3 linked regions of the Mytilus edulis genome follow. Each later gene encodes a partner of the first gene's protein in a complex. Links are inferred from orthologs where the notes say so. Each region holds a gene or a part of one and is shown on either strand. Other genes may lie near its edges. The genes, in order: protein lin-54 homolog, myb-related protein A-like and probable histone deacetylase 1-B.

Region 1 (11,099 bases):
ATTTGCTGTTGAAGATCTAATAATAAAATTTCGGAAAAGACATGCTCTAAAAGTCCGGAAAAGTTTGTTTACCCCCTTACCGTGTTGGCATTTTTCCAAAAATGTTCAAATTTATCTAATTTTGAATATAAAAAGATACAGGAGATGACAATTAAAGATTTTTCTTGTCTAAAACTATATAATGAAAATTTCACAAGACCAAGGATTTGTATCATGTAGTAAGACTTTCTAAACAAATCCTTAGCAAGACATATAGGAACTTGACTTTTTACCCCTTTTTTTTTGTCAAGTTTCAAAAAATATTTCATAGAAACACAAGTTGTTTTATAAGGAAACCGTTTTTGTTGTATGGTCTTATAATAAACCCTCATTTCATAGGCTCTTTGGGAATTACCCCCACCCCCCTTTTTTCTATTTGATATATATCTTTGGTGAAATCGATTATCTACTAAGATAGTAATTATTATTTGATGCAGTACAATTATTATTCATAATATTTTGAATAAAAAAAATATATTAATTTTCTTTTCTTATAAATGACTTTATTATGCGCAGCTTCAGTATTGGGTAATTTTAACGCCAGTCTTTTAAACGTTCATGTAGGTTTGTGCATCAATAATAGTTTTAGTCCAGGAAAAGATGTGACGTTTAGGTGGTGCATAGATGAATATTATATCGATCATTTGTCATAATAGATGTACATAGTTTGATCTACTTTAATCGAGACTTCAATTTACTGACAAAAAAAATAAGAAAATTTTAATATTTAGCTGACTCTGTCGCCTATTACATTTTCTATATTCATATAATAGATAAAAAAGGAAAAAAAACTTGCCTCTTATTTTCTTATTCGTAAACATTGATAGACACGGACATTTAGATCCAAGGACCGAAACTATCAAGGCCGACAGGTGTAGAGACGAAACGGTTGAAAGCACGATGTTTCGGCCATGGTGCCTCTTCGCCTTGGTATTTTCGGTTATGGAACCAGTTTGGCATTGGTCGTTTTGGTCGTGTACCACTTCGGCTTTGCAATCAAGTAGATTCGACCATAAATTTTTTTATACTATAATTAAAGAGATTTTGTGGTTTTTACTCACACTTATCCTTTAAAATTACTTTATTATCCATTTATTGTAATGACGTTTTATCAACAGCATTTTTAAGGAGGTTTTGAAGATGTTTGTTTTATGAGAAACACGCATATGTCGATTTTTCGGTTTTTAATGCTTATTTTATATAGTTTGACGTTTCGATTGGAGAACCACTGATGAGTCTTCTGTATAGTAGTCTGACGTAGCAAATTATATTAGTGTCGCCGCAAATACGAATTTCTAATCCTGGTATCTATAAGAAGTTTATTTACAACCACTGGGTCGATATCACTCCTGGTGGATTTTTTATTCCCTGAGGGTATCACCAGCCCAGTAGTCAACACTTCTGACATGAATTATCATTTATATGGTCATAATTATAAATTTACTGTTTACTAATCTCCGATTTTTTTTAAATACTTATGCTTTTCTACCTCAGGAATACAAGAATAGATCACCTTAGCCGTATTCGGTATTTTTTTTTAGGAATTTTTTGTCCTCAATGCTATTCAACTTTGTATTTTATTTTGCTTTTTTAAACTTTTGATTCGAGCGTCACTGATGAGTCTTTTGTAGACGAATGCGCGTCTGGCGTATATACAGTTTTTAATCCTGGTATCTATGCAATTTGATTAAAATATAGATCTCTGATTTCTTTATAGAGATATATACATTTGTGTACTTTAATTGGATTGGTATCTATGATGAGTTTATTTAGATAAGTTATTATGGTGTAATACGTTCACAAAAAAATACCCAACGAAAAACCTAAAACTGTTAATGATGTCACCACGTTTGAAGTTTTCAGGACAATACATAAGTCAACTAGACCCTTCTAGCATCTGTGTTTCATTCGGGAGAATAACATATAAGCCAATTACTACATCTGACGAAGGTAATTGATGTTGTGATGTGCAATTTGGTTACAGGTTTCAGATACTAGTTGGGAGATCCGATTAAACCATATAAATTCAAGATAATTGTAATTTTGACAATCTTCTCAACAGAACATGCTTAGGAAATATAAAATAGATATACGACAAGAACAGCTTCAGCATTAGTTACAGTGGCGGATCCAGGGGAAGGGTTCCGGGGGTTGGAATCCCCCTTTTTTTACGATCAATGCATTTGAATGGGGACATATAGTTGGAACACCCCTTTGTCCTGGGTTGGGAACCCCCTTTTAAAATGGCTGGATCCGCCCCTGGGTTATTGTATCGCAGGGCCGTAACTACATTGAGGCAAATAAGGCATATGCCTCATGTTAGAACCCCTCCCCCCCCCAAAAAAAAACCAAAAAAGAAACAAAAGATTGTCTTCATATCAAATTGTTTTTCACGGAAAGTGTCTTTCAAGACGCAAGTTCTCTTCACTCTTTGATGTCGCCCCTGCATGTTTTTTTTTTTGTTATCCATGCATGTTTCTATTTTCCTGTGTCCCGGGTTTGTCTTTTGTTCATTTATTGTCTTACTTTATGACTATAGTCTGAGTGTTGATTTTCATTTGTAAACGTGGTTTTGCAATGTTGCATGTCCCTCGAATTCCAGACATTGTGCGAGAAAATATTTTTAGAATATATATACGATGCTACTGGACACAAAAAAATGGTCCTTTCTACATGGACAAATAATTGATATCAAAGAATACAAAATAGTTTTTTTGTAAATAAAACTAGATAGCTGACATGGTTTGAATTAAAGTAAGGTCACCTATTACCCGGTATCAAATAATTTGAAAAAATAACAACAAGGTATTGCCATATGTGATCTTTTACATTAAAGGGTTAAACTTGCATTAAGTCGTGTTGAGAAAATAAAGGAATATGGAGTACACTTTCAGAGGACCTAATCGCACACAAAGTCAATGCATAGAAAAAATACAAATGATTAATAGTCAAAGTTTTTGTTCCTGTTCTTCATCTATATAGTTGCTGGAGGGTCTTCAACAATACTTTGAGAGAATCATTAATACCGTAAAACAAGGTGAAGAATTGTTTCTAGTGTGAACTTAAGCAGAACTAGTACTTAAAGTATAATACTGCACTGTCACTATATTTAAATCTAGTCATAAATAAAATCACCAAAGTCTAAGCACAATACAAGAAAAGAACAGACAGACAGATCCGGTATTCAATAATTATGAGAATTACAATTTTTGCTTTATCCTACATATCGGTCTTTTAAACCAGACTAATGTTGTATCTAGAACCTTAAAGTCTTAAATTACAAAAAATACAATGAATCTATGTTTTTGCTTTGGGACCAGAATATTGTCGAAAAAAATAGCCAAAAACTAATTAAGCCGTTTCAATGCAAGGAAAGTCTAGGAAACGCTCAGAATGCACGATTTTGCGTTATTTTTCTCAGAGCTTCGCCAAAAAATTTTCGCCTTACTACGCTCAGCAAATATATTTTGCCTCACTATCAAAAGAGGATGGTTACGGCCCTGTATCGTATTAGTCTGTTTATGCATCAGGAATGGTTTTAGTCCAGGAAAAGATGTGACTCTTAGGAGGTCCATAGATTAAAGGGCAATCAATGAGACATGGGAAAATGTATATCCAATATCAAATTCAATAACTTCCTGTCTTTATTGGTTGAAAATGCATCAGTGTTCTCAATTTGTGATTTTCAGGTACTGACAATTGTAAATGACAAAATATGACGTGTTTGATATATCTTATTTGGGTTATGAAATACTCACAGTCCACTTTCAGCGTTGTATATGGAATTAAAATGCAGGGGTTTACATGTAAGATACTTCTAACCTACCTGAAAGTTTATGTAAATATCATATTATGTAGTCCGAACCTTGGTGATCATTATTTTGAACAATTAAACAAAGTTCTGGGACGTCTGCAAATTTCTAGGTTAAAAATAAATCTATCAAATGTAAAGTAATTGAAAAGAAAGTCGCATTGTAAGTGAGGATGATATTAACCCACATCTGAATACAGATGACTCAGTACAAAATCGGAAAACTCCAAATAATGTAAAGGAAGTTCAACATTTTCTGGACGAAGTTATGTAACCAGATCGTAAGTATATATAATGTTTCAGGGATGTTGCTTATTCAATACGCCAATTTACTTAAGACTAGACGTTAATCAGTTAAGTCAGTTTTATAAATATCAGTCAGCTTTTGAAAAAGTAAAAAGACGCTCCCACATGGTGACAGAACTCTTGACATGTTCGCTACAACTGAATCACGTTAGGCATTCGAGCCGTCCCTTCCCAGAATCAAAATAACAAAAAGAATATGATTGCTTATGGCTCAAGAAAAAAACCCAGTGGTAATTGATTCTTAGGCACTTGTCTCTGATTTTTTATATACTTTTATATAAGGTATAGCGATTTAGAAATCAGATGCAAGTGCCTGTGACATTAATCCATCAAGTTAGGCATTACTTATTTGGTTGAAAATGTGTGTTTAATACATACAGATTATGGGTAACGAAAAAGCTGGCTGTTTGGTGTGAGCCAATGCTCTCTATTTAAGGCCGTACTTTGACTATAAGTGTTTACTTTTAAAAATAATGATGGAGAGTTGTCTTATTAGCAATCATACTGCATCTTCTTATCTACGAACAAGCATGATCGTAAGATTTTTACTGAGATATATGTAAACGCCTGTGAGCAGAGATTATATTACTGCTTGGAAAAGGGAAGTAGTCCATTGAAAAATTTAAGTCATCACGTTTGTCATGACATATATATTCTAGTTTAAAGGAGTCTTTCTGGGTCGATATCGAGGAACTTATCAAGAAATGAATCAGACCTTTTACTTTTGGTAGTATCCCTAATCGAACGTTCACTGGGAAATATGAGATGTAACCACTCATTTAAAATAATGCGGTGTTTGTGTGAAAAACAATATCAATATACAATATGTATCTGAAAATGGAAACAAAAAGATTCTTGCAATATGCTCTTTTTGTCTTTGAGAGAGTTTTGTATGAATTCTGGTTGGAGATTACTAAAAATGCTTATACAAGTCCAAAATCGACACTGCATAGTCATGTTGTCTGATTCAGTCTACTGTTTCAAGATTTCAATCAGATGCGTTAAATGAGTTTCAGAGCGCAATTATTTGATTAAATGTATATAATCAGCTTATAAATACAACAGTCGAATCTTGAATGTAAAATCTCAATAAGATAGGCGAAAAATACCAAAGGGATATTCAAACTCATAGGCATGTTGAAAACTTTTTTTTTGGTCACGTTTTGTTTTTGATTTGGACTTATTGACAATAATATATTGACTATTATATATCAGTATAATATCCAGGCCCAGACTGACGAAAAGACAATATTCATTTACACAAACCACACTTACATTTAGTAGTGATGAAATTACTAAATACAAACAGGAATAAAACAGACAATGGTATAAATATATGCGCGGGAGTTGCTTTCGTGCCTTTCGTGAGGAAATTTAAAAAAGAAGAAAATAATTATTGACATCAAATATTAGTGTATTCTTAAATAGTTATGTGTGTCCATGTGCAGACATGTAACATTTTTACTTAAATTTAAACACCATTTTCTTCTTAAAAAAAAAAAACCAATCACAACTATAGTTTGCATGGTATTTCATAATGTCTAGCGATCTGCTAAAGTGCTCCGGCAAGTGCCTTAGTTATATTACTTAATGCAAATGAATACATTTCAACAATTTTTTTTTTAATTTATGTATCTTTCAAAAAGGTATTGCATTTACAGATCGGAAAGAAATGATATCATCTACATTTTTTTCCGTCACAAAAGTGTTGCCTATCTGTTTACGCATTTTAAACGGGGTTTATCAGAAGTCATTTTTCTATTAAATCCTCATTCAGATCAAATAAAAATATCGACTGTTTGATTTTGTAAATAATATTGAAAATTTAAAGGAAATTATATTTTTTTCAAACACATTTAAAAGTAAGTTCTTTTAAACAAATTTCCCGTCATTTCACTTATTCAAAACTAAATATTATCATAGCTTTACTTCAATCACCTTCGCGGAAATCAACACCGCAATGTATTATGGGATGGTAATGGTGGGCGCGTGATTTTGAACAAATACAGAATGCCTGCCCAGAGAACGGGTACGCTGCAAATAATCATAAGAACAAAAGAATAATAAGCGTGTTATCATGCAAAAACTGACTGTTTATCTATCTCCTCATATATAGAACGCCTGCCAAAATTCTAAAATAAGAGAACATGGCGATATTTTTTGTTCATACCCCTCTCAATAAGTTCGATTTTTCCACGTCTTCATGATCAAATACTAACTGCAGCCTCCCAGATAAACAGCAATACATAAAAGTAATTAAAACAAACATCAATGCATGTGTTTTAACAAAATTAGCTACTGTTGCGGTTGTATTTGACGGAATTAGGAAGTTGGATTTAGTTTCGTCATTTTAAATTTCCCTGCATTCATGTCGGGCAAATGGCGGGTTATTTGAGTTGTTCCTATGGAAAAATTTTCGTTTGACAGGAAAAAAGTGCTTATCATAGTTTTCTTTCAAATAACATTCATCATAAATATGTAAGAGCAAAAAAATCTGAGGCTGAACAGAAAACATGTTTAATTTCATGGAATGTGTTTCAACTAATTTTTTTAAATAACATTTATGTATATTAACTAAATGCATTAGTCATGTCAGTGATATTTCACTAGCAATGAGAGATGTACAAATGTATATATATATATAGCCTGAAAAAGCCTGAATATATTCCATGCAGTTGAGGTGCTCCGCTCAATGCTGGTCTATACACAGGAAATTTTACACAGACATTATAACTCATAAGTGTATGTATTTTATATTGACAATTTACACAAAAAAAAAGCCTGATTGAATATATCAAATAACTAATAGCCAGAAAAAAGAATTAAAATTGTTGTTTTCAATTTGTTTTCCCTGTATCACAGAGTTCGCGAAAATGGTCGGTCCTATCGGTCAAAATGAGGCTTGGACCAGTATTTTGAAAGCTAGTGCCGGTCCTGATGACCGATGTAAAAACAGCTGTTGTAGTTCCTTTTTTTATTGGTAATTCCTGTTTTAAACAAACTGAAACCTATGGACACCAAAGTGCTGATCTACACGTGGCCTGCTAAACTTGTTCTTGGCAAACAATAGGCGATTGAAATCGTAGATGGAGATAACAAATACTGAGAAAATGATTCAGTTGATGAAATAGATAGAGAAATGACTTTAATTAAGAACAATCAGAAGATCAGAACTCGTACTTCATTATTAATTTGTCCGTGGCTGTGAAAAATAAAACTAATAATAATAAAAGATATTTTTGGATAAAATATGTTATTATTTTTATTTTAGGATCAAATTGACAGATTTTTTAGGACTGGCTAAAATTTTGTAGGACTGACAAATAATCTTGCTTTGTCGGTCCCATGACCGACGGGTCAAACGAAGTTTTCGCGAACTCTGGTTACAAAAGGTATTCGATGCAGTCCAGTAAACTTGCACATCTAGGCTTAGATTGTATGCATTTCTTCTTTATTTTTTTATTAAAATTGCATCAGATAAACGTATATACACTTTTCGTATTTAGCTGAATTTTGTTTCTGAATGACCTTTGATCTGCTGAGAATAACTTAACTGTGACTAACTGTGACATTAATAAACAATTGCTTTCTAAATGTGATGTCAAAGTTTACAGGAACCTGTATCATTTTACATTATGGCGGTCAAATTTGTATACAAGTGCACGTGTAAATATGTATTCACTGAAAACTCTATTTTACTTATATTATCTCATATGTTTCAACTTTGGTACAAATGTATGTGCTTCATTCTGTTTTGAACAATGCAGGCTTTTGCAGAGTGATGGGGAATTCTGATTTAATTTTAAAGTTAATCAATAGGAGCACCACTTATATTGGTCAGGATGCATATACACCCTCTTCAAGCCTCTATGGAAAACACTGGAGGTCTTCTTTCATTATTTGTTCTTAACTGAAAACACAGCAGAAAAATACAATGTACCTATTCATGTTTTTTATATTTTATGATTGCAGGCATTGGTGTAGTAAACATTCATGAAAATGATCCATCTGCTCAGTCAATAGAAATAAATTCCAACAGCTTTTCTGGAAATACTATTTCAGTTGATTATAACCAGTTAAAAGGCCATGTGTTAAATCCATTAGACAATCTGGAAGGTACACTTGGAAATTTAGAGACCACAGAATCCAACTTAGGAAATGTTGATCAGGTTCTAGTGGATTCATCTGATTCTAATAATCATACTCAAATTCAGATTGTCAACTCAACAGCGGATAGTGGACATTCAGAAGGAACGTTAATAAGATTAAGTGATGGATCTGTTGTTAGTACATTGATAGACAATTCACAAATTGTAAGTGCTAGTAGTTTACCAACTACATCTTCTCAGGCTGTAAAAAGACAATTGAATGCTTCATCATCTAGTCCTATGGTAACTAAAGTTATAATTACAAAAAATCCCAACTCAAGTCAACCACAAGCTGTACCAATTCAGTTAAATCCATCATCTTTGCAGTCTTTACAACATGGACAGACATTAACGTTTAATCAATCAATGGCACCTGCTGTCAATGTGGTGCCGCAAAGTGCACAGACACCTACAAAGACCATTACAATTTCTCAGCAAGGAATTATGTCACCACAAAAACAATATTTTGCTTTGCCTGTAAGCTCACCAAAGCCTGGAATAACAAAAATTCCTATTTCTCCAGCAAAGACTCCTACAAAAATAACAATGATACCAGTGACTGTTGGCAAATCTCCGCAGAGGATAGCGCCCGCTTCAGGTGTATCTGTATTAAGTAAAAGTTTATCCGATAGTGCTACATATACAGCTGTTCCTGTGTCATCAGGACCTACAATGATTACATTATCACCTTCAAAAGTTTTTAAACAAGGCACAGTGGTACAAAATGTAAGTATTATAAAAGAGGGATAATTAGCAAAAACGTTTTTCAATGTTTACTGTAAGGGTTTATCATGTTTGATATAAAGATTTGACATTGATGTATGTCTTGACATATAAATTTGCTTACCAATACACGATAGTGAAAGAGAAAAATATAATTATTAGGTTGATAAAAGAATGTTAGTTAAAATGATTTTCTGTCAAATTTGAACCAGAATAATGTAATTAAAGACCTACTTGAAATTTTAATTTATTTTGGAATTTAGGATTATTGTTGTATTTACAGCCTCAAATAATTTAAGATGACTAATCATGAAATTTTAAATCAGGTTCAGCAGAGACCAGGACAGATACAATTCCAACCAAATCAGGCTATTACAATAAATAAACCTCAGACACAAGGTGGTGTACGACAAGTTGCCATACCCTTATCTAGCATGCAGAATATTCAAGGCAGCAAAGTTCAATATGTTAGACTGGTAGCTCCATCACAGCAAGGCCAAACTGCAGGTATGTTTGGACAATTTCATTTTTATGGCCCGCAACAAAGTTGTCGGTGCCATATAGTTTTACACTTGTCCGTCATTCCGCAACAAACAATTATATGGAGTTTTTTTCTAAACGCCTTATGATATTGGGATGATTTTTTGTATGTGAGTTACTTATGATGAGTTACAGATCAAATATAAGTTTCGTTCAGCTCGGCTGATTTTTGCTGTAATTTCGGGCTTTGGACTTTGATAAATTGTTGAAAATCACAGTTATACGGAACTTTTTTCTAAATGCTTTCAGATATTGGGCTGATTTTTGGTATGTGAGTTAACCATGATGAGTTACAGATCAAGGTTAAGTTTCGTTTCGCTCAGCTAATTTTTGCCAAAATTAAGGGTTTACAACTTTGAAAATTGTTGAAAATCACAGTTATATGGACATTTTTTATACGCCTCCAGATTGTGAACTGATTTTTGATATGTGAGACTACCATCATGATTGTGACCACATGCGTTATTGAAATTGCAGATTTTCCAACTTTTTGAGATTGGGCCATTCGTGTCGCTTTGACACATCTAGTTGTTCAAGACTTAGAGCCATGATTAAGTTTTTATCTTTTGCTACATATTTTGGTTTTCAATCCCAAATATAAGATTGTCATTCAGTCAATATGAAAAACAATGGTGATTAGGACAATGAAGTCTGATCCTTACTTTGCTGATTAAGTTTTTATCTTTTGCTACATATTTTGGTTTTCAATCCCAAATATAAGATTGTCATTCAATCAATATGAAAAACAATGGCGATTAGGACAATGAAGTCTCCTTGACCCTTACTTTGCTGTTCCTTAAACACTCTTGGGAATATATTGGTGTCTCAGATTGATCTGGATATGAGCTTTTGCAACCAAGATTGATATTGATTACATGATGTCATACAGGGTTTGATAAAGACTTTGCAACTGTGACTGTTATTTAAATAATCAAGGGTGGCTAGTACAGTGTAATTGCTATTGACTGTTTTACGCATACATTTACTTGCACTTACTACCAAACATATCGGGGCCGAGTGGTCTACTGTATTGCTAGCAAGTCAACACTGAGAATGTGAGTTGAATCTGGTTGAATCCTGCACAGTGTACATGCAGGTGCACTCAACTCCAATCTTAATTGACTAGGATTGTCAGTTTCTCTTCCGAAGATTGCTGGTTCACCACGAGTACTTAGGCTTCCTCCACCAATAAAAACCAAAATCCTGTCCTCCACAAAATAGCACAATAGTGTTGACAGTTGTGTTAAACACCAATTAATCAATCAATCAATACTAACTTATAAAACATTATAAACAAAGGCCATCCTTTTTCAAACCTCGTCACAAATTTTAATTGGATGACATGGAAGTACATTCCCAATATTCAATCCAGAAAAAATTGAATTGAATATGTGTTTGAAATATCGATTGAATTAAGATTTTTTTTGTGATACATTGAAACCACGATTAAACTTTCTGTCATGTTCTATTGATATGTTTCATTATAGGTATTAAGACATCTTTGGCATCATTAGTCCAAGGTAAACAGATTT
Region 2 (11,760 bases), on another chromosome or scaffold:
CATCACTGATACATCTCTGGGCTGAAATATAAAGTAAACACAGTAAAAACTGTATACATTACTGATACATATCTGAGCTGAATTATAAAATAACTACAGTAAAAACTGTATACATCACTGATACATCTCTGGGCTGAAATATAAAATAACTACAGTAAAAACTTTATGGCATTGAAAAACACTTGTCAGACCTGAAAATTATTGAGCGTTAATTGTGAATTATTCGTCTTTCCTCTGTAAACATAACTACCCTTCACCATTCTCTGTCTTAGGTATTTTAAAATCTTTATTCTCTTGTTAACATTATTACTCTGGTTCTCTTTCAAGTCTTTTCTCACCACTAGACTGGTATCTGTTTAGATATTACAAATAAATCAATAAACCTTCTTAGTTTGTCAACACTTTCAACAGGTATTTGTGATATTAAGATCTAATATAGTTTTGTGGTCATAGCCATTTCTTTCATCATGACAGTTTAAAAGGGAATTTCCAGGAAATACTTGCACAAATGATTTAGTCAGAATTCAAATTACTTCACTAAAGTCAATTGAAAGTCTTGGACTTTTATAAAGAAGAGAAATGGATCGGTGACATCTAGAATATGATCATAATCACTACCCCTATATAACATACCTTTTCTAGTGGAGTTTCCCAGTATTTTTTACAGGAATGAAAGTTACAAACTATTTCATTTAATCCTTCTGTAAGAATAAATATACTGATAATTAATATAGGACAATTTAATAGAAAGTTAGGTGAAACAACTAAGGGCTGTTTAAGAATTGAATGCAAAGAGGTATTTTTTTAAGTCCTCATTTATCTTTAAAAAATCATATATATATTCCTATTAAAATTTTAAAGGAAAATACAACTACCAATATTTAATTAATTGAACTATCTTCAATCCTCCCACTCAATAAATTCGGGAAGCCCCAACATTAAATAAGTGATATATCATGCAAGATATTTCAGAATTCCATTTATATTTGCTACTTCACAATTTTAGGTGATTTAAAAGTTATATTGGATCTATATAGTAAGTAAATAACAAAGGATGATTTACACACAACATACAATGTATAATGGTATTATGTCCAAATTTTATTTACACCAAAACTGCCTTCAACATATAAGCTACACATTTTCCACACATTACAGAAGTAACTGTATGGAACAAATTTTGTTTTATTCATTTGAGTTTTACATATTTCAAAAAAAAAAATGAATAGGTTTCATCCATTTTATTAAATTTGTGGGCTAGAGAATACACAACACAAAAATACAAAACACATATTATTACCTTCTAAAGTAAGTGTGGCATTCTTTGATAAACCTTGAGGAACACAAGTACTGAATACTTCCTACAAAGACAGAAACAAACCATTATACAAAATTCTTCTTTTAAACTGAACATGTAGTGTCAATAGTACAACTTAACACCTAGGTAGCAAATCAAGTGAAGACAACTGAAATTTTAATAAACTTTACAAAATCTGATTTGGTGTCTTTTCACTCTTTTTTTTATTGATAACAAATATTTTTAGTCAAAGCCCAATTATAATGTATTTAATGTTTTTCATTCTTGTGAACAAGTACATGTAACCATTATATGTTGACTTATCAATATAGTATTTATTTTTACCTTGCATCTCTGTTTAATATCTTCCATATCTTCTTCTAAACATAAGGAAATATCCCAGAACTCAGCTGTTTGTATACCGGCAACTATATCACATCTATATAGATCACAATAGTCAGCTAAACATAACACATCCTCCCCCTGTCAACGAAATAAGAAGTTAATGTTTAGTCCTGCTGTGTCAAAGATGGATATAGTGAGCAGAAATTGTAATGTGCTATTTCACAAGGTAACAGTCATCAGAAGACATGTCATCCTACCAAGACACATTATTCACACTTCCAGCCCATGTGTCTTTGCTTTGACCAAGCTAGGGTTCAAACCCTCATCCTAATTGTAATGATCACGCTACCAGGAGACCACTGAGAACGTAAAAAGAAAATATGAAATATTTGTAATATTTATGTTATATATTCTATTTGGTAATTTTTGACACTCAAGCCACTCAATAGTTGCAGAATTGAATGTTATCAATGTGAAAGAAAATAGTTGTTGGCCAAATGTTAATGAAACAGCAACCAGGCAAACAACACCAGACACCATATTACATTCTTTCTCTAATTTCAGAATAAAAGTTGTGCTAAAATTTAAGCCTACAGCTATTAAGCTGATAAATAAATGTATTATGTTCAGTTACAGATCAATTTTGAACTTTGTGTTCTGGATGACTTACTTTTCACAGAATAATGAACACAAACCATCATACCACAGGCAGGGGGTATTGTATAGTCCAGACAAATATGTGTACATTTTCTTTTACCTTTTTTTTATATGAAGATTATATTGACAATGACAGTACATGGCCAGAGCCTGATCATGCTGATATTTAAATATAAATATACTGCAGTAAAAAGTTGTAATCTTTACCTGTCTAATGTATTCTTTATGTCTGTTGGTAAAGTGTAGATCTAAGTAATACTCAGCGATGAACCCTTTACCACAGATATTACAATACCACTTATTGGGTGGCTCATTATATTTTTGGTCCTCTTGGATGGCATAAATATCTCTCTCTTTGTTTAGGATACATGTATCTGGAATCTCTGCTTGGACAGATTTGTACAATGGATATATTTTCTAAAATACAATCAACATATTGATAAAACTCTACTGAAATTGCAATTCAAATATCATAAACTCAATGCATTACTTCATATTCAACATGTTTAAGAGTTGTCTTTGTCAATCAATAATTTTAGAAAGGAAAATACAACTATAATAGTCAATAAAACTGAAATGAATAATTCCTTTCGTTTTTACTTTAGAATTTTTTCAAATTTATTTCTCAATCTTATTTTATCTGATTGTCATTTAAATAAGAAGTGTACATGTATATCACACGTCCACTCCTGTCTTGAGCAGATGTCATTCACAGCAATATCTCTAGACGCAAATCATTGGTATTTTTAAAAAGCAATAATTCAGTAAAAATTAATAATAATCAGGATAATGTTGGTCCTTACATGAGATGCTGTTCAGAAATTTAATTAAAATAAAATAAAATAAAATGAAATTTATAATTATAATCATTCATATGTATATATTTAGATGCCAGAACATTTTTTTTCAAATGTCTACCTATATACTTACTTCAGTTATTACACGTCTAACAACCCTGGATCTCTCTCTAGAACATCCATCTATATAACCTATCACAGTAAACAGGGTCTAAAATTACAAAAATAAATTGAGTTTCAGTCTTCAAAACTATTTTTTGTCCTCTCATTATTTTAAGCTGTTCCTTGAACAAACTCAGGTTAATTTTGAATAGGAAATGTTACCATGTGCAAAATATATCAATCAACAAGAATATGTGGCTTGTCAGTGGTTGGTTTGGGGTTGTTTGGGGTGGTTGTCACAGATGTTTCTTGATTCTTGTTTTCTAAATAGATTTTCTTCTTTTTCATATATAGTCTGTTGACTCTCCAGTTGGAATTGTTTTGCATTAGTCATTTTGGGACCCTTTATCATGTTTATAGCTTACTGTTGGGTTTGAGCAAAGGCTACATGTTGAGAGCCTTTCTTTGATCTTTAATTGTTATCTTTTTATACATTGTGACTTACAGAGTTGTCTCAATGTAACTCATACCACATCTTCTTATTTATACTGTATTATTTAGGGACACCATGCCCTAGTCCAAATAGTGATGATGTCTTGAATGGCTTTTTTTTTATTGTTTTCTGTGACGCCTTCCTACGATGTATTCTAGATACTTTGGTCACACCCTTATTATTATGTATGCATGTAAATTTAAAATATCATAATAAATAAGTGTACAAGTGTACAGAGTTTTAATTTCATGTGACGAGAACTTCATGGTAAACTTTACTGCACAGGAACCAGTCTCTAGCTATATGTTTAACACTGTTGGGTTCAATTTTCAAACTTAATATCCAGTTATATTCATCTGCATAACAATACACTACAGTGGGACAGAGATATAATGGTGAAGACCTAAATTATGGAACTAAAGTGTTAAAACTTAAGTTGTAAAGTAAATCAGAGACAGAGGCAGATCTATCATTTAGGGTTTAAAAAAAAAGGGGGGGTGCCCAGTACCACTCATGGAACAACTTATATTGTTAATGCATAGACCTTTTACATGTTTTAATACAAGCGTTGACTAATATGTAACCCTTTCAAAATCCTGGATCCACATAAAATTTGTGTTTACAAAGACAAGAATTGAAGTAGTATGGCTCTTGGCTGTGGTAACCAGTCACCAGTGGTTCACTCGAGAGACATGGCAAGTCTGATTTGTGCTGTAAACAAAATTTAACATTAAGATTTCCCTATGAGTATGATAGTGAAAGAAAATCTTACAACATAAAACACCAGATACTCAGGTGATGTGTATTCCAACTTCATATTCACTCATTCTTCATGCTAGATTGAATAGATACAAAGCCTTCCGAAAGGTAGATTTACTGTATCTAAAAAATTATAAACATATGGTAACCAGTTGCTAGGCCATGCATATTGATGATACTGTTTATATGCATCGAATGCTTATAAGATCTTATAAATATAGTTTAAACAGTTAACTAGAGACATGTATGATCTACAAAAATGAAAAAAAGGATTTAGAATGCATTGGAAGGTTAATTACATTCTGAAAGTTCAACGAATAGTTAATTTTTATGATTTACATTTTGCTTTAAAACTTTTTTCGTGAAGTAGAAAATATAGTACCATTTTTCAACATATTATTTAATCTATATTGGGAGGAACAAATTTACATTTAATATGTCAACTCTTAACTTATTTTCCAATTCTAAAATAAAGACAGACAGACAGACAGAATATTTTATTATAGTGTCACATACCAATACTGAACAATATCATACATAATAATATAAGTATAAAAATACAAATAAGAATTTAAATCGAAGTTAAAATATCGGTATCCAGTCATGACTGACTTATGAGACACTTTTGCTTTAAAACTTATTCTAACATTCATTTACAAATGAATAAATAAAACTTTTACATCACATTTAAAGAAAAAAAACATTCCGTTATACACAATATTTTCTGCGGTTAAACATAAAATATAAAGATTTTGCTAAAAAGGGTTGTTCTAAAATAAAACAGTCATCTTTGTAAGGTGTATGGTGAGGGCCCTCATGGGGTTTTTGATTATGTGATTACTTGGCCGTTTGTTTAATGATTATTTGATTATTAAGCCAAATATTTCATGATTATTTGATTACCTAGGACTGTATTTTTAGTTTATGATTATTTGATTACTAAAGATAAGCAAATATTTAATGATTATGTGATTATATTGGCAAAAAAATGGTGATTATGTGATTACTAGGACCCCCCCATGAGGGGCCTCTATGGTATTATTTTCACAATAAAAGACTCTTTATACAATATGACAAGCCGTTGTGGAATTTATTCTCTATTTATTAAAAAAATAAATCGTTTCAATTTTGTTTATAGAAGAAATATCATTTGTTAATAGAAAAATTATTTTTCAATATACTAAAAAATATTTTTTCAATGAATAGTCCTTTTTTATATTATAAATAAGTTTGTATTTTTTTATTGATTAGAATCAGAGACATATTTATATGTCTCTGTTAGAATTAATATTATGAATTCAATCTTTAATTTTTAAATTCTATGGCAAGCCGTTTTGGAATTGATTACCTATTTATTCAATTAATAAATCATTTATTAGTAATACTTCATTCTTACTATACAAATCATCCCCAAGGGTGACTGGGGTATAGAAATATGGTCGCTTGGTCTTCTCCCGACCGGCAGTAAAACGCTTGCCGAAGAGGGGCGTCCGTTTGGCTGTGCGGGATGTATCAAGTTCGCAGTCACGTCCGGTCAGAAGGGGGACGTTAAATCCGATGCCTCGTGTAAAGAGAGTGCCACGCTCTTTGCACGTTAAGAACCCTTGCAACAACTCTTTGAGGGGTCCGTAGGTGGCCTGTTGCAAGGCAAAATTTCTATCCCTATCCAATATACCCTCCTTTTCCGGTGGCATTCCAAATTTCTCCAACCATCATCACAGATGGCCTCTATTGCATCAACCTACCTATTGTATTTATTGTGAACTTGTTCTCGTCCTGAATATGATACGAAATATATGTTTTCATTATTGACAACAGAGACATATAATGCAGACTGTACAATATATGATTACAATATTACTAATCTATTGTGTGAATACATGGCAACTCGGACAAAATTGCGATAATGTAGGACAGAAAGTCACAGGACAAAAAGTCATGGACAAAAAGTCACAAAACAAAAACAAAAACACAATTTTGTTTGAGATTATTATTCTTTGTTCAAAAACACTTATTTCAAAAATATTTTTTGGGTATTTTTCTTAAAAGTTTTATATATATAAAGCAACTATGTAATTAAAATTTATTCAATAAATATATAATGATAAAATAGTTGTTATGAAAACAAAATGTCAAAGTGGCTTGGTACCTAAATGGCTTCATTTTCTCAATATTCACATCCTTTGCTTGATTAAAATTTAATACGTTTTCATTTATCGAGGTTTATGAGAAATTTCCTTAACTTAAAAATAAAATATATGGGGGGGGGGGGTGTATGTAATTAAATGAAAATATTCAAAATATATCTAAAAAATTGTCAAAAAAATATTTGTGACTTTTTGTTCTATCAAGTTTGTGACTTTCTGTCCGTTTTCCTGATCCGATAGTAGTCTCATGAGAAATCGAAGACAGAGATAAGGTTGTCCTCATATCTAAAAATGAAGGTTCCTATTTTATTTTTAGAAATATTCATTGTCCAATCAAATTTCAGATATCATATCTGGATATTCCGACCGCGCAATTTAACCGCCATTGATGTCATTTCTTCAGCTGTTTTTTTTCCGTTTTTGTTTAGTTCTTGTGTTCTAGAAAGCATTTATTAACACTGTTTTTGTGACAACCAAGAATGGCAGTTCCGATGAATTTTTGGATGTTCAATCGGCATGCTTGAATGGCTGGAAGACAGGTAATTTCAACAAATTCAAACAGAAATATTTCATGTTGTCATTTTGCTTATGTTGTTTTCTCTTTCTTCCTTTTTTGCAACACATACATTTAATACATAATGATAGAACAAAAGAATGCAATTGGCATTGTACGCAAATCGGGGAAACAATGATAGAATAATGCGTCAACAGAAACAATAATAGAACAAAACATTTGACAGGTGCGACGTTGATTGATTACGTCACAATGTAAACAATCGCACGTGCCATTCACGTGGATTCTGTCAAAGATTTCCAGCGTTTAATATTTTAAGAGATTTATAATGAACTTTGTGTATAGATTGTCTCACTACCAAGGCATTCAAATATGGTAAATTATCACATTTATGATGCAAATTTCGTGGAAAACAGATGGAGAAAATATTGCTTTAAAATTTTTATTTAAAGGAAATATGCAGACTCATCTTTTATTCCAAGAGTTTCAGACTGTTTCATGTTTTCTTAGAAAAAATATGTTAGCCTTCAAACTGTTATCAACAAAAAGACTTTTAATTACAACATTACCACATTTTCTGTAATTAAATAAATTGTTTTTTTATAAATGAAAACTCACAGAAATGGGTGTTTGTCCTAAACTGACTATTTTTTAAAATGGTCAGTTTGTCATGAATGCATGTACAGTCTGAGCTATGAGACAAAAGCGAGTCCTCACTCAAAAATAGTCTCTTCTTCTTTAAGGTCAACAAGGCTTCAATACTGAAGAATACATGTTGTTGCGCATGCATGATTGACAAAAATTTATACAAAATTTATAAAAATATTTTATAACAATTGGAGTGTTTGTATTTACAGATTGTGATTAAAAATATATGTACATGTTTTGTTTGAATTTGTTTATTTAAAGCTAGAGAGAACCGCTGGTGTTAGTCGATCTCTAAAGCTGCCAACAGTGGTGGTTTCAATTACAGTTTGTGGTAGTAAATTCCATTGAATAATTGTTCGCAGGAAGTATGACCATTTGTATGTGTCCTTGGAAGTTTGGATGTGTCTATATGTCTTATGATTTTGTCTTGTTCTGCTGTCTGTTTGTTCACAAATATGCGATGGAATGGCTACTAGACAATGTATTACTTTATAAAATAAAATAAGTCTGGTTTTTAAGCGTCTCTCAGCTAGTGGTGGCCATTTCAACTGATTTAGCATGTTTGTGACACTGCTCGTGTAATCGTAGTTGTTGTGTACATAACGACTGTACCTTTTCTAATTGTATCTGTTGTTCTTTCATATGGGGGTCCCAGACACTACAACTATATTCCAGTTTGGGTCTTACTAGTCCTATCATTTCAACCAAAATCGATATTTTTTCAAAAAAATATTACCAAGTAACTGTATGAGCAATTTTTATAAAATAGATAACATAAGATGTAAAAATGTCTGAAATTTTATTGTTTATTTAGTCATAATTTTCTTGAGTTTTGTTTTCTTCATCTGATGTATTATACACAAATGCAAATTTTTACGATTTTAATTTGGTTAGAATTATAGCAAACTTTTCAAGAAATATCTTTCTTTGTGTTCATCTAGTCAGAAAATTAAAATGAGCATGAATAATATTATAACCAAATAAACAATAAAACTTCAGATATTTCTACATCTTTTGGTATCTATATTTAGAAAATAGCTCATATAGCATGTATAGTTACTTGGTAATAGTTTTTTGAAAAATATCGATTTTAGTTGAAATGATAGGTCTTTTTTTGACTGGGAACTCACTTTTGTCCAATGACTGTAGATGTGAACAAACATAAACATTTTTTTATTTTATCTCAATGCCCATTATTTATTTCCAAATTACTTGGAAATCTGTGGGATATACCTATTTTCAAAGTTTTGTCAATTTATGATGCCCCTTATGATGTCTACTTTGGGAAATCAATAATTTTGTGCTCTTTATATCCTTGTGTATTGTATTTTCACCTATTAAAATTTTGGTGTCTTCTGGCTATTCCTACATTTTGTATTTTACTATTCTGGCTATTCCTACATGGCGGATTAGTGGTAGAACAATACATGTTGTTATTGCAAGATATGTTGGTTTAGTCATTAGTGTCTAATCGGGTGAAAGGTAAATTTACCTGTTGAAATTAAATTTAAAAAAAAATTTAAATGTAAAATAATGGGATTTTTTTTGTTTGAAAACATGCATTAAGTTATAAAATTAATTATTTTAATCTTATGGAATTTGTAGAAAAAAAACTATTTAGAAGAAAAGGAAGTAAAAGCATTGGAAAAGAAAAGAAAAAGAAGTAAAAACATTTAAAAGTCTGTAAAAAACGTATTTAAAAAGAAAATTAATAGATACCCAAACTTTCAACTTCAGCCTCAAAAAATTTATTAATTTCATTATTTTAACAAATTATGATTTTTAAAAATGAACATAATATCAAAAGTAATGCTTAAAGTAATAAATCATTTTAGATAAGTGTACATTTTATATTGGCCTAATAGATTAAGTCAAGCCAATTAACTTTGAACTCTGATAAGCTTTTATTCGAGATCTATGTAACCAATTTAACATCCTACTTCAACCAGCCAAGATATTCCTCGACTACAAAATAGCCATCAGAAATGCAGCCACTTCAATCTTCCCAGGAATCAGCATAAAAGGGTGCCTTTTTCACTACACTCAGTGTATCTGGCGAAATGCACAGAAGCATGGTGTGCAGAGTGAATACAGTGAAAAGAGAGACATTCACCAACTTAATGTTCGTAGAGCTGCAGTTTAACCACCCAATACAATTGTAGATATTTGGTTTAATGCACTGGAATACATCGATGATTCAGATACTACTACACCAACACTTAACTTTTCTGACTATGTAACCAGCTACTGGGTAGAGAACAACCAAAGTCTGTGGAATCACTATGCAACAGAAGGTCATAGAACAACAAACCATTTAGAGGGTTAAATTTGCATAGTAAACTAAAAAAATAACTAAAAAAATAATTAGTAAATGCACCTCACCTAAACATCATCAGTATGATCAGGTTGTTGAGACAAGAAGAAGCCTTCAGTGCTCTCACATTGATATAGTACAGAGCTGGTGGGAAATGTATTCCAAGAAAGAGGAAGTAAAGGGAAATAGATGACAGACTCCAAACACTGAAAACAAGGTTACAGAATGATGAGCTTACTCCAGTCGAGTATGGAGATGTTGCTTCTCATCTCCTGCACATTGGTTAAGACTTTGTATTCTCTTATATGTTCAATTTATGAATTATGTGTAATGTATTACTGTGTGAGTGCTATGAATAATGTCAATTTAGTGTACTTTTGGTGCTTTGTTGAGTGTAACTCAAAATTAAGTGCTTTGATTCAAAGAATGATTTAACATTTATATTTCAATTGATATTATTTACTTGCACAAAATGTATATATTAATGTAAATAATTGCAATTACTTGTGTATACCATTATGCCTTTAAATTCCTATTGTGCTTTTGAATATTATTTACATAGACTGTGCTATGAAATTATTAAATGAAATAAAAGATTGTGATATAAATTATTCTTTTTCTTTATTTTACAGAAGAATTCCCTGGATTTACCTTGATTCATTAGATCTCATTAGTTTTAGTGTTGTTACAACATAATCCTACATAATCCCTTTGTTTTCATACAAATTCTGGGAACTCCTACATAAAATTTTACTATTTTACCTATAAAATTCAAAATGTAGGAATAGCCAGAATGAACCAAAATTTTCTCCGAATTACTCTCTTATATGTTTGAACATAGACATGGCTTCTATTTTGAGAGTCACTAGTATACATGTGCATAAAATAATTGTATCTGAAATATATTTCAATCTTTAATTTTTTTTTATATTTGAGTTCATTAGATAGATGGCACCTTTGTTGACAAAAACAAGTGTCTAGTGTTTTCGACCTACATGTATCTAAGAAACAGGTCCAAAGTCGGAAATGACATGTCGTACAAATCTGGAATTGGTTATAATTTGATGTCAAAGTTTATATCAAAGTGTTAGAGGCGATTAAACTTATGACTTAATGAATTAAGTGGTTATATAATATACAACTATAAGACATAAAATATTATTTTGATATCTTTTTTTGATTAGTTGTACACATTTTACTTGATGTACTTTGGAAGCCTTGTATGTCTAGGATCTTGTATACTTCATGTTTTTGATCAATATTTTAGTTAAGGAATTGTGAAGTGAGATTGGTGAGTATTGTCTGTAATTTCCACTGACAGACTGTTTTTTTCTGTTAGTAAAAATTAATTGATATTTCATTTTTTCAGTAAATAGCTGTAAGGATCATGCAAATTTGCATGTTAAAAATAACTATAAGTATTGCAACTAACCACATGACAGTCATGTGACTAAATGACCTTGATGTAAACTTCCCATGCAAAAGGACCTTTGCCATATTTTTAGAAATTTGTTTATTTTTATGCAGTTAAGCTGCATTATGCGAGCGCCCTAGATTTGTGTTCTACCCAATAAATGCTGAAATACTTGCCATTGTTATTATCTAGCTCGCTACTATGTTATATATAACTAATTGAACACTTTTTTAATACTTTTTATTCTGGATTACAAAAAATATGACCAGAAAA
Region 3 (11,234 bases), on another chromosome or scaffold:
TATTTTTAATTTACCGTTAGCTACATCAGCACCAAGTGCTAATGATGTTTCATATGTCCAACATCTGGCTACATTTCTGATTGTATATCCTCCACCTCCCAGTAGTAACAAAGGCAGGTTCCATTTCTTCATAAACTCTACACACTTTCCATGTCCTACAATATGTTCATGTCAATCAAAATACATAGAATCAATTCATGGCTACTTTTTTAAACTGGCACATAAATATTTATCAACTAGCTTTGTACACTCGGTCATCTAAAGAAAGAAGGCACAATCTTAGCATCTGCTAATTTTAAAGTCATAAACTGTTAATTAATAAACTTATAACAAAACAAGTTTGGTCTACATCAATGAGATGGAAACCCATCAACACAAGCGAACAAAACCAAACATTTGTTTGTAACCATACTCTCAATCACCGCAACTATTATCTACATCAATTTTTTTTGAAGATTTTAAAATGTTTATTAAATTCAAGTAACATAATTAAGACAGTTAAACAACTAAACATTTGCTGGCCTGATATATCGGGTATCAGTTTTTCTCTCCCAAATATGACATTTTACAAGCTTACCTTTCAGTGTAAGGTTAAAACATCCCAGTCTATCACCAGACAGGGAATCAGCTCCACACTGCAGTACGATTGCACTAGGTTGGTACATCTCCATTACTTTTGTCATCACCTGTAATTAATGTTTATATTAATTAAAGGTAAATTCAGAATAGTTACACATTTTTTTAAATTTATAAATTTAAGACAAAAATAAGATTTGAAGAACAGAACAAAGGGTGTGTATCTAAGCTCTATTTGTTACAATTTAACTTTATCATAAAAATTATCCTTATTATTTCATCCATTTAGCAGGTTTAGTTGACTCCATCATCTTTTTAAGGTGTACATGCTTACAGTAATAAAGATAAGCTAAGCAAGTATTGCAAAAGTTATCCTGCTCAAAGTAGCTCCATAACATAAAGTATCAAAATAGTTCTAAATATACAAATTCTTCAGTATACTTACTGGTTTAAATATAGACTCGTATGAATCGTCATCTATACCATCTCTCAGTGGGAAGTTTACAGCATAATATTTACCTTTCCCTGCACCTATATCCTACAAAGATATTTACGACAGTAATCACTCGATTCATAAATAAAATAACATGGATTAACAAAAATATTTGACAACACAACAATCCAGACAAAACATCAATACAATACATGTACATGTATATACTTAAATAATTAAAATACTCCTTTTTTATATGTAGTAATTTGCTTTTTAATGTATATATGAAGGGTAGATATATTATAACAGATCATATCCAAATTCACAATAGAACCTCCTTGTTGGTTTTATGCTTGCCTCAAGTGCCAGGGTTTTGATCCTTAGCCTGGGCCAACAACGACTTTTTAATTGGTATTCTTTGCACTCCATATTGCATTTTTAAAAGATGAAGAACACAGTCTTGGGTCATACTTACGTGTCCAGTGTGGTGGCAAGTAATTCATTATTAGCTAACAAGTTAAAAATTCAGCTTGCCATGTCCATTTAGTCCAAATACGAGAACATTGTCTGTACTCACCCTCAGGTCCCCAGTACCAGGGAAATATTCCCCGTATTTGTGGAATGAGACAGTCATAACTCTATCTGTTGTATAAAATGCTTCTTCTACACCGTCACCATGATGTATATCAATATCTACATACAGAACACGCTGGTGATATCTGTAAACATGAAAGATAAATGATGAATCTGTATTGCAGTGGCTCTTAAAATAATGTTATTCGCAACAAGGTTCTAATCTGCTGATTAACTATATTTCAATTGTATATTCAGAATTTTTTATCATTACATTTGTTAACATTATGAATATTTTCCACCAAAAAAAATGCAGATTTATGGTTGCCATTTTGCACAAATTGTTAGGTTTTATTATGGCATTAAGGTTTATATTTTGTAGCTTGTACTGCCTCAAATTGACAAAAAGAAAATGAAAACATTATTGTTTCTTTTTTTATCAATCCTTTTCCAAGTCCACTCAGCTATAATATTGAAACTCTTTAACTTGTATCATCTGTGGAAAATGAATAACAAGGTATAATAACTTGATGTTATATTTGACAAAACTTACTTCAGTAGTTCTAAGATAGCCAGTACGATATCATTGACGTAACAGAACCCTGAAGCTTCTGATTTCTTAGCATGATGAAGTCCACCAGCCCAGTTAATAGCAATATCTGCTGCTTGTTTGTTTAATTTTACTGCTCCAGCTGTATTCAGAAAATAAAAATATGTCAGTGACTGTTAGAGTTGTTAACAATCATAAAAAGGTTTTGTAGTGTACATTTTATAACACCATGTCAAATTTGTATATACTACAATTGGCTGAATTCAATCATAATAAACAGATTGATTGTGCTAATTCATATAAAGCAATTTAAACTTTATATTTATTAGGGGACCTTAATTCAAATTCTTAAATTCAAAATTATGAATACTTTAAAAAATATATATGCTATACATGCAAGTTTCAACTATAACATTTAGGAATTCATTACAAATAGTTATTTTTCCGATTTGAAATTCTGGGGAGACAATTTCCATTTACAATATTAGTTTATTGAGATATCACATTCCTATAGCTAGAAAGTCCTAAAAAGGCCACCACATGCCAGAGTACCCTTATAAATGTACTACATTTGATGGTACAGGTTCACTATACTGCACTCAGATAAAATGGTTTTAGTACTTTGAATATGCATAATTACTTCTAAAATATAATTTTCAAAAATGTTAAAACAAGAAATTTGTTCTTGTCAGAGTATATGTGATACTAATCTACAGAATTCATACATTCCATCAAATCAAAAACAGGGCAGTCATCTCCAACGTTAACTTGTCAGAGTATTTAATACTAACCAACAGAGCCACCAGTTGACAGCTGACAGAACTCATACATTCCATCAAATACAGGGCAATCTTCTCCAACGTTAACTGAAAAGATTTATAGATCTTATAATTTACATTTATTTACATTAGTACAATTGACCGGTATTATCAAAGTATTCATAAAAACTTTCAGTCTGCACGGTTAGCCACTAGTCCGATGCCCCAGACTAGTAAAATTTCATTTCGGACTAGTAAGTTTTTGCAAAACTTTGTTTGGCCCAATAAGAAAAATGTCAGAATATTGGTCTTCGGACTAGTAGTTGAAAAAGTTTTTGGTGCAGACTGTTATTTGCTATGGCCTTCAATAATGTTCAGCTTTGAATTTATGTTTCAACAAAAAATAAGTACTGAAATGAGAGCAACTATTCTGTAGACACTTTTTTCAGACGATTAAATTTACTTAGTAACTTTGTAATTCACACATATAGTATTTAATTTTAGTTATTCTTGGTCATTTAAAATTTAATTTGTTAAAAGTAAAACTTTAACCAGTATGGACATGATGGATAAATGGTGAATGTGTCACACAATGGGACACAGATGATGCCCCCACTTGCATATAATGTCCGAAAGGGACATATGAATCCCAGAACTGTAAAAAGTGACTGCCCAAATTTGTACTTGATCTGATTTTTGTTGTAAAAAGCATTGGGTATAAGTTACATAACATTTGATTAAGACAAACTAAAGTAAAAAATCAGAACAGAAACGAAACATTCAACAATTTTTCCATTTGTTACTGTAAAGGGGCATAACTCTTGAACTGTTACAACTTATTTTAAGCATTGAATTAAAAGACGATTTTTAATTGATTGATGTTTGATTTTTGCCGTATTAGCTTCAAAAGGCTATACTGTAGAGATGTTACTAAAGAGAGATAAAGTTAATAACATTATATATTATTACATCGCTGCATCTGTTTGTTGTAGTCCGACATGTTATCTGGTCTTATACTTCGTAAAAACTTGATGTAGTCATCACTGTGGAACTTTGTCATTTCTTCTTGTGTGGCTTTGTGTGGTCTCTGTTGAAAAATAATAATTTATATAAAAAAACTTTTCTAGATCTGCGTCTCTTCATTTTCTGTTTAATAATATGAAAAACTACATAGTCATCAATTAATGCACCAATGCTCTTAGAAAAATAACTGAGAAGATTGTGGGTCACAATGTCATCCACCAAAATATTAATGAACTACAATGTATGTCAAATAAATGTAGTGTACAATACAATACTATTTATAATAAAGATCGTTTTGAAGGAAAAAAGTTTGGAATATAATATTATTTATACTTGTAGAGACTGCAGAAATTTTATTGATCAACATTATTTATACTTGTACTTACATAAATTTCCATCTTCCTATAAAGTCCATAATTAAGTATAAGGTTGTGTGTCATACGTATTCTGTGTGGCTTCATGGGATGACCTTGGCCATAGTAGTAATTTCCAATGTCTCCTATTCAATGGAAATATTTAATTATTCAATTATGATTTCAAGTGAGAAACTGAATATGGAAATATAGCTGTACAAGAATATTAGATTGGTTATCCAAAATTCAGGACATTAAAAAAAGCTAGAGCATGGTTTTCACAAAGAATTGTTCGTGAAAAGTTCAGCAAGCCAACTCATCACTTTGGACATATTAAACAAGTCCATAGTTCTGACAAAATTAGTATCTGTCATCTACTTATTCAAAGCCTCATCATTTATTTTAGTCTTACAGTTTTAACGAAATACATGTATAAACAAAATTCTATTTAAATTATATTTCAATTTTTTATTATAAATTTCTAGTCTGAATAACAAGCCTCAATTTCACCTTACAATAATTCATTTTATAGTCAAAATCATATTATTAGCTACCAAAGAGTTAGAAAAATAGAAGATTCATATTTGAAATGAGACCCCTTTCCCTAAAATAATTTGAGGAGACAATGACATTGCATTATTTATCTTAGTTTCACAATCCTTTGTCCTTTGGTCCCTACTATAGCATAAAATATAAAAGAAAAATGGGCTTCCATAGATTGAATTTTAATGTTCTATCAGCAAATTCAAAACTTTTGATAATAAAAGTAATAAAATGCTTGTTTCATATCATAAGGGTTGCAAAATGCTCTTTCCCTTAAATAATTCAGCCAAAAACGATTTTTAACTGAAATAAAAGTGTTTTAAAAAAATTGTTACTTTCGTACGCCGAGCATGGGAAAATGGGCTTCCATAGTTTTTCAAAGGAAATAGGCGCGATTTTGTATAATTAGTGTTTCTCTGCAATAAATTAATTCAAAACAATACCAGAACAAATATAATATGTCTTTCATCATAAATAAACATAAAAAATGATTTAACAATACATAATTTCAGATTTTTACATCCAAACGTGAGCGGCTTTTTGGGGCCTGCATAGGGGAACGGACGCTTCCAACAAAAGTTTTTCCTATTAAGTGAGTATAGTACCACTTTCAGTCCCCTTAAAGAAGCAATCGATATATTTGAGAGGTCGAAAACTAAAATATTGTTTATGAACATACCATCGTAATAATAACAGACTCTTTTCTTGCTGTGTTGTGAGGCCATTGTTCGAGTCAAGCGATGTTAAATTGCAGCGCCCTCTATTAACAACGAACGACAATCAAGTATAGTTCTTCCCGGAATAATTTTAAAATAAACTTGTATTGGAATTTTGTCGAATCCGAAACTAGATATTTAAAGTATCCACGAAAACATTTTAATTAATTGATTAAATCTAAGAATAATTTAGCCCCTTATTGAATTTAAAATTAAAACAAAAGGACTAAATACTTAAGAATTTTCAACAGGAACTTTCCCTCGAGTATTGTATTATATGTCTCTGAGTATAGAGGGGGAGGACAGGGGGGTACCCTTCTCCCTTCTCCCACCCCTCTTCTCCTTTCTCCTACCCCCGTTCTCCATTCTCCCATTAGAATAAAACATCTCTTTTTGAGATATTTTTTCTTGAAATATTAGATCATTTTTTAAAAGGAGAGATATTTTATTTTTTCTCCTTTCTCCAACTTTTTCTCCTTTCTCCCAGCCTTCCTCTCCTTTCTCCTACCCACTTTCTCCTTTCTCCCACCCCCTTTCTCCTTTATCCTACCCCCTTTCTCCCTGTCTCCCTTACCCCTGTCCACCCCCTCAGTATACTAACTTGTCACAGTCTTAGAATTGTAGAAATTCATGATGACATGGTTTCTTTTGGATATATTTTATCGGGATAAGTTTTAACTTGAGTTTTATCAGTATTGAAAACGTTCGACCACTGAACTTACTTTTAAATAGTTCTTAATATTTTAAAAGAATTACATTGTGTCATGATGTAATATTTTTGTTCGACCAGTCCCAGATGCGGATTTAGGGGGGGGGGGCAGGGGGCCCGGGCCCCCCTTTTTGGGGAAAAAATCGGTTGCTTATCACAGGCACTTGTTTCTATCCATACGAAGGTCGACTATCCATTTATATGGATAGTCGACCTTCGTATGGATAGAAACAAGTGCCTGTGTTGCTTATATAGGGAATCACTGAAGCGACACTCGAGCAGGCCCCCTCTTAATTAGGTCAGTCAGTGGGCCCCCACTTATGAAACTTGAATTTCTGGATCCGCCACTGAGTCCTATTTAGAAGTCAAGTAACTTGTGATAACTGTCTAGAGTGTCTTTTCCAATGAAAGATTAGGTACTAGTCAACGGTGATGACTGCAGACATACTTAATTAAATGAAGCATCTTGATAAAAGGAGAAGTATGAATATACGGCAATGAGATACAGACAACCGGCCATAAAAAAAAACCACAAGACATCGAGGCATCTTAATAAAAGGAGAAGTATGGATAAACGGCAATGAGATAACAACCAAACAAAATGAAAAAAAAACCAACAAGACATGGCGGCATCTTAATAAAAGGAGAAGTATGGATATACGGCAATGAAATAATAACCAACTAAAATAAAAAAAACTACAAGACATGGAGGCATCTTAATAAAAGGAAAAGTATGGATATACGGCAATGAGACAACAACCGGCCATCAAAAAAAAACCAAAAAAAACACAAGACACGGAGGCATCTTAATAAAAGGAGAATTATGAATAAACGGCAATGAGAAAACAACCCCCCCCCAAAAAAATAAAAAAAATACAAGATATGGAGGCATCTTAATAAAAGGAAAAGTATGAGTATACGGTAATTAGACAACAACCCAACAAAATAAAAAACACAAGACATGGAGGCATCTTAATAAAAAGAGAAGTATGATATACGACAATGAGAGGCAACAACCAAACAAAATAACAAAAACTTAAAGACATGGAGACATCTTAATAAAAGGAGAAGTATGCATATACGGCAATGAGATAACAACCAAACAATAAAAAATGTACAAGACATGGAGACATCTTAATAAAAGGAGAAGAATAAATATTCGGCAATGAGATAACAACAAAAAAAAAACAAAAAAAAATACAAGACATGGAGGCATCTTAATAAAGGGAAAAGTATGGATATACGGCAATGAGATAACAACCCAACAAAATAAAAAAAAATACAAGACATGGAGGCATCTTAGTAAAAGGAGAAGTATGGATATACGGCAATGAGACAACAACCGGCCATCAAAACAAAAAAACCACAAGACATGCATATGGAGGCATCTTAATAAAAGGATAAGTATGGATATACGGCAATGAAATAACAACCAAAAAAAAAATAAAAAAATACAAGACATGGAGACATCTTAATAAAAGGAAAAGTATGGATATAAGGCAATGAGACAACAACCGGCCATCAAAACAAAAAACCACAAGACATGCATATGGAGGCATCTTAATAAAAGGAGAAGTATAGATATACGGCAATGAGATAACAACAAAACAAAATAAAACAAGAGGCTGTCACAACGACAGCAAACCGGATTTCAATATGATTAACATTTATTCATTTATTTGTGTCCTGGCAATATCACAAGAACCATAACTCCTGAACGGTAAAAGTCAAAATCGACATTATTAAACTTGACCTCCATTTTGTCATCAGTAACAACATATTAAAATTTGAAAAGCTTTGGGTGAACAGTTCATGAGTAAATGCACGGACATGACTGGAAACGCCATTTTTCAATCTTTCAAGAACCATAACTCCTGAACGGTAAAAGTCAAAATCCTCATTCTTGAACTTGACCTCCATTTTTTCATCAGTAACAACATATTAAAATTTGGGAAGCTTTGGTTGAACAGTTCATGCGTAAATGCACGGACACGACTGGAAACGCCATTTTTCAATCTTTCAAGAACCATAACTCCTGAACGGTAAAAGTCAAAATCGTCATTCTTGAACTTCACCTTCATTTTGTTGTCAGTAACAACATATTAAAATTTTAAAAGCTTTGGATGAATGGTTCATGAGTAAATGCACGGACAACATTTGTTTGCCGCCCGCCCGACCGCCCGACCGCCCGCCGTACATCCCCAAATCAATAACCGACATTTTTGTCACAAAAATCCGGTTAAAAACTACAAGGCATGGAGGCATCTAAATAAAAGGAGAAGTATTGATATACGACAATGAGATAACAACCAAACAACATAAAAAAACACATGACATGGAGGCATCTTACTAAAAGGAGAAGTATGGATATACGGCAATGAGATAACAACCAAACAAAATAAAAAAACACATGACATGGAGGCATCTTAATAAAAGGAGAAGTTTGGATATATGGCAATGAGATAACAACCAAACAAAATAAAAAAAACACATGATATGGAGGCATCTTAATAAAAGGAGAAGTATGGATATACGGCAATGAGATAACAACCAAACAAAATAAAAAAACACATGACATGGAGGCATCTTAATAAAAGGAGAAGTTTGGATATATGGCAATGAGATAACAACCAAACAAAATAAAAAAAACACATGATATGGAGGCATCTTAATAAAAGGAGAAGTATGGATATACGGCAATGAGATAACAACCAAACAAAATAAAAAAAAACACATGATATGGAGGCATCTTAATAAAAGGAGAAGTATGGATATATGGCAATGAGATAACAACCAAACAAAATAAAAAAAACACATGATATGGAGGCATCTTAATAAAAGGAGAAGTATAGATATACGGCAATGAGATAACAACCAAACAAAATAAAAAAAAACACATGATATGGAGGCATCTTAATAAAAGGAGGAGTATAGATATACGGCAATGAGATAACAACCAAACAAAATATAAACTACAAGACATAGAGGCATCTTAACAAAAGGAGAAGACAAATATGGATATACGACAATGAGATAACAACCAAACAAAATTTAAAAAAAAAAACCCACAAGACATGAATGCATCTTTATAAAAGAAGAGTATGGATAAACGGCAATGAGATAACACCCAAACAAAATAAAAAAAAACTACAAGACATGGAGGTATCTTAATAAAAGGAAAATAAAATTGAGAATGGAAATGGGGAATGTGTCAAAGAGACAACAACCCGACCAAATAAAAAACAACAGCAGAGGGTCACCAACAGGTCTTCAATGTAGCGAGAAATTCCCGCACCCGGAGGCGTCCCTCAGCTGGTCCCTTAACAAATATATACTAGTACAGTGATAATGAACGCCATACTAATTTCCAAATTGTACACAAGAAACTAAAATTAAAATAATACAAGACTAACAAAGGCCAGAGGCTCCTGACTTGGGACAGGCGCAAAAATGCGGCGGGGTTAAACATGTTTGTGAGATCTCAACCCTCCCCTATACCTCTAACCAATGTAGAAAAGTAAACGCATAACAATACGCACATTAAAATTCAGTTCAAGAGAAGTCCGAGTCTGATGTCAGAAGATGTAACCAAAGAAAATAAACAAAATGACAATAATACATAAATAACAACAGACTACTAGCAGTTAACTGACATGCCAGCTCCAGACTTCAATTAAACTGACTGAAAGATTATGATTTCATCATATGAACATCAGGCACAATTCTTCCCGTTAGGGGTTTAGTATCATACCATCATAACATATATGAGAAGAACATAACCCGTGTCATGCCAATAACTGTTTTTAGAATAAATGTGTTTAGTTCCGATGCAAAGACCTTATCAGTGACTCAATATTAACGCCAAAATATGCAATCTTTAATGACTAGACAACAGTATCGTAATTATATCCCTTCTTAATAAGTCTATTCAGAGGTTTTGTAAGTTTCTGAGGTGAATACTGACACCTTTGTTCTTTATAAAGAATATTTCCATAAAAAATTGGATGTGAAATACCTGAACGTATCAGAAGTCTGCATGTTGAGCTATATTTACGAATGATGTCTTTATACCGATGATAAAATTTAGTAAATGTTTTGACTAGTTTGTGATATCGAAAACCCTGGTGTAATAATTTTCAGTAATACATAAATTTCTCTCGTTAAAATCTAAAACATTGTTACATACACGAGCGAATCGTACAAGTTGAGATATATAAACACCGTAAGATGGTGACAAGGGAACGTCACCATCTAAAAACGGATAATTAACGATAGGAAATGAAAAATCATCCCTTTTATCATAAATTTTAGTATTCAGCTTTCCATTAGTGATATAGGTATGGGTATACGGTAATGAGACAACAACCCAACAAAATAAAAAAACACAAGACATGGAGGCATCTTAATAAAAGAGAAGTATGATATACGGCAATGAGACAACAACCAAAGAAAATAAAAAAACTTAAAGACATGGAGACATCTTAATAAAAGGATGAGTATGGATATACGGCAATGAACAAACAACCAAACAAAATTTAAAAAAAAAAACACAAGACAAGATCTAATAAGCTTTACGTAGATGGAATGAGACACATATCTCACTCTGGCAACACCAAGAGCGAGACACCAAACTTGAATGATGATCGACTATTAATTTTCAACTAGTCACATTCCAAACAATTTAAAATTTCAACATTGAAGCCCGGATCAATCGCCTTATAAACGTATGCTGTGTGTATATCTGTTTTAAAAGATCTTTGCTTTTCTCTCACAACTAAACAGCTTTATGATATAGCAGTCAACGGCAGACACACTAATAAATAATTATGTTCCTTAGTCAAGGATTATACATATTTAAACATCAATTTAATCCCTTTGGCCGTCTACATGAAGGAAAAGCTCGTAATCAGAAAAAAAAAACTTACTTTATTTGCGATAAAGGTACTAAAAATGGGATATATTTAGTACAATCTGATGAGTGAGAAGGAATTAAGTAAAAT

What was found.
Region 2: protein lin-54 homolog (region 1) and myb-related protein A-like share a complex: the UniProt entries of both Drosophila melanogaster proteins name them as parts of the DREAM complex. The link is inferred for Mytilus edulis from reciprocal best matches to the Drosophila melanogaster genes mip120 and Myb.
Region 3: protein lin-54 homolog (region 1) and probable histone deacetylase 1-B share a complex: the UniProt entries of both Drosophila melanogaster proteins name them as parts of the DREAM complex. The link is inferred for Mytilus edulis from reciprocal best matches to the Drosophila melanogaster genes mip120 and HDAC1.

The regions. Positions count from the first base shown.
Region 1 is NC_092352.1:33,268,158-33,279,256, reverse strand, and holds the start of protein lin-54 homolog, read left to right. Parts: upstream 1-6,094; 5' UTR 6,095-6,166; coding exon 6,167-6,185; intron 6,186-8,128; coding exon 8,129-9,030; intron 9,031-9,353; coding exon 9,354-9,534; intron 9,535-11,054; coding exon 11,055-11,099. UniProt on the Drosophila melanogaster protein: Component of the DREAM complex, a multiprotein complex that can both act as a transcription activator or repressor depending on the context. In follicle cells, the complex plays a central role in the site-specific DNA replication at the chorion loci.
Region 2 is NC_092350.1:20,927,908-20,939,667, forward strand, and holds the start of myb-related protein A-like, read left to right. Parts: upstream 1-7,361; 5' UTR 7,362-7,439; coding exon 7,440-7,486; intron 7,487-11,760. Other genes in the region: uncharacterized protein, read right to left, coding at 634-701, 1,301-1,361, 1,643-1,780, 2,507-2,716, 3,230-3,307, 4,464-4,508. UniProt on the Drosophila melanogaster protein: DNA-binding protein that specifically recognizes the sequence 5'-YAAC[GT]G-3'. Component of the DREAM complex, a multiprotein complex that can both act as a transcription activator or repressor depending on the context.
Region 3 is NC_092344.1:100,941,066-100,952,299, reverse strand, and holds the start of probable histone deacetylase 1-B, read right to left. Parts: upstream 5,633-11,234; 5' UTR 5,535-5,632; coding exon 5,489-5,534; intron 4,413-5,488; coding exon 4,300-4,412; intron 3,978-4,299; coding exon 3,860-3,977; intron 2,999-3,859; coding exon 2,924-2,998; intron 2,275-2,923; coding exon 2,136-2,274; intron 1,729-2,135; coding exon 1,587-1,728; intron 1,115-1,586; coding exon 1,022-1,114; intron 687-1,021; coding exon 578-686; intron 156-577; coding exon 15-155; intron 1-14. UniProt on the Drosophila melanogaster protein: Catalyzes the deacetylation of lysine residues on the N-terminal part of the core histones (H2A, H2B, H3 and H4).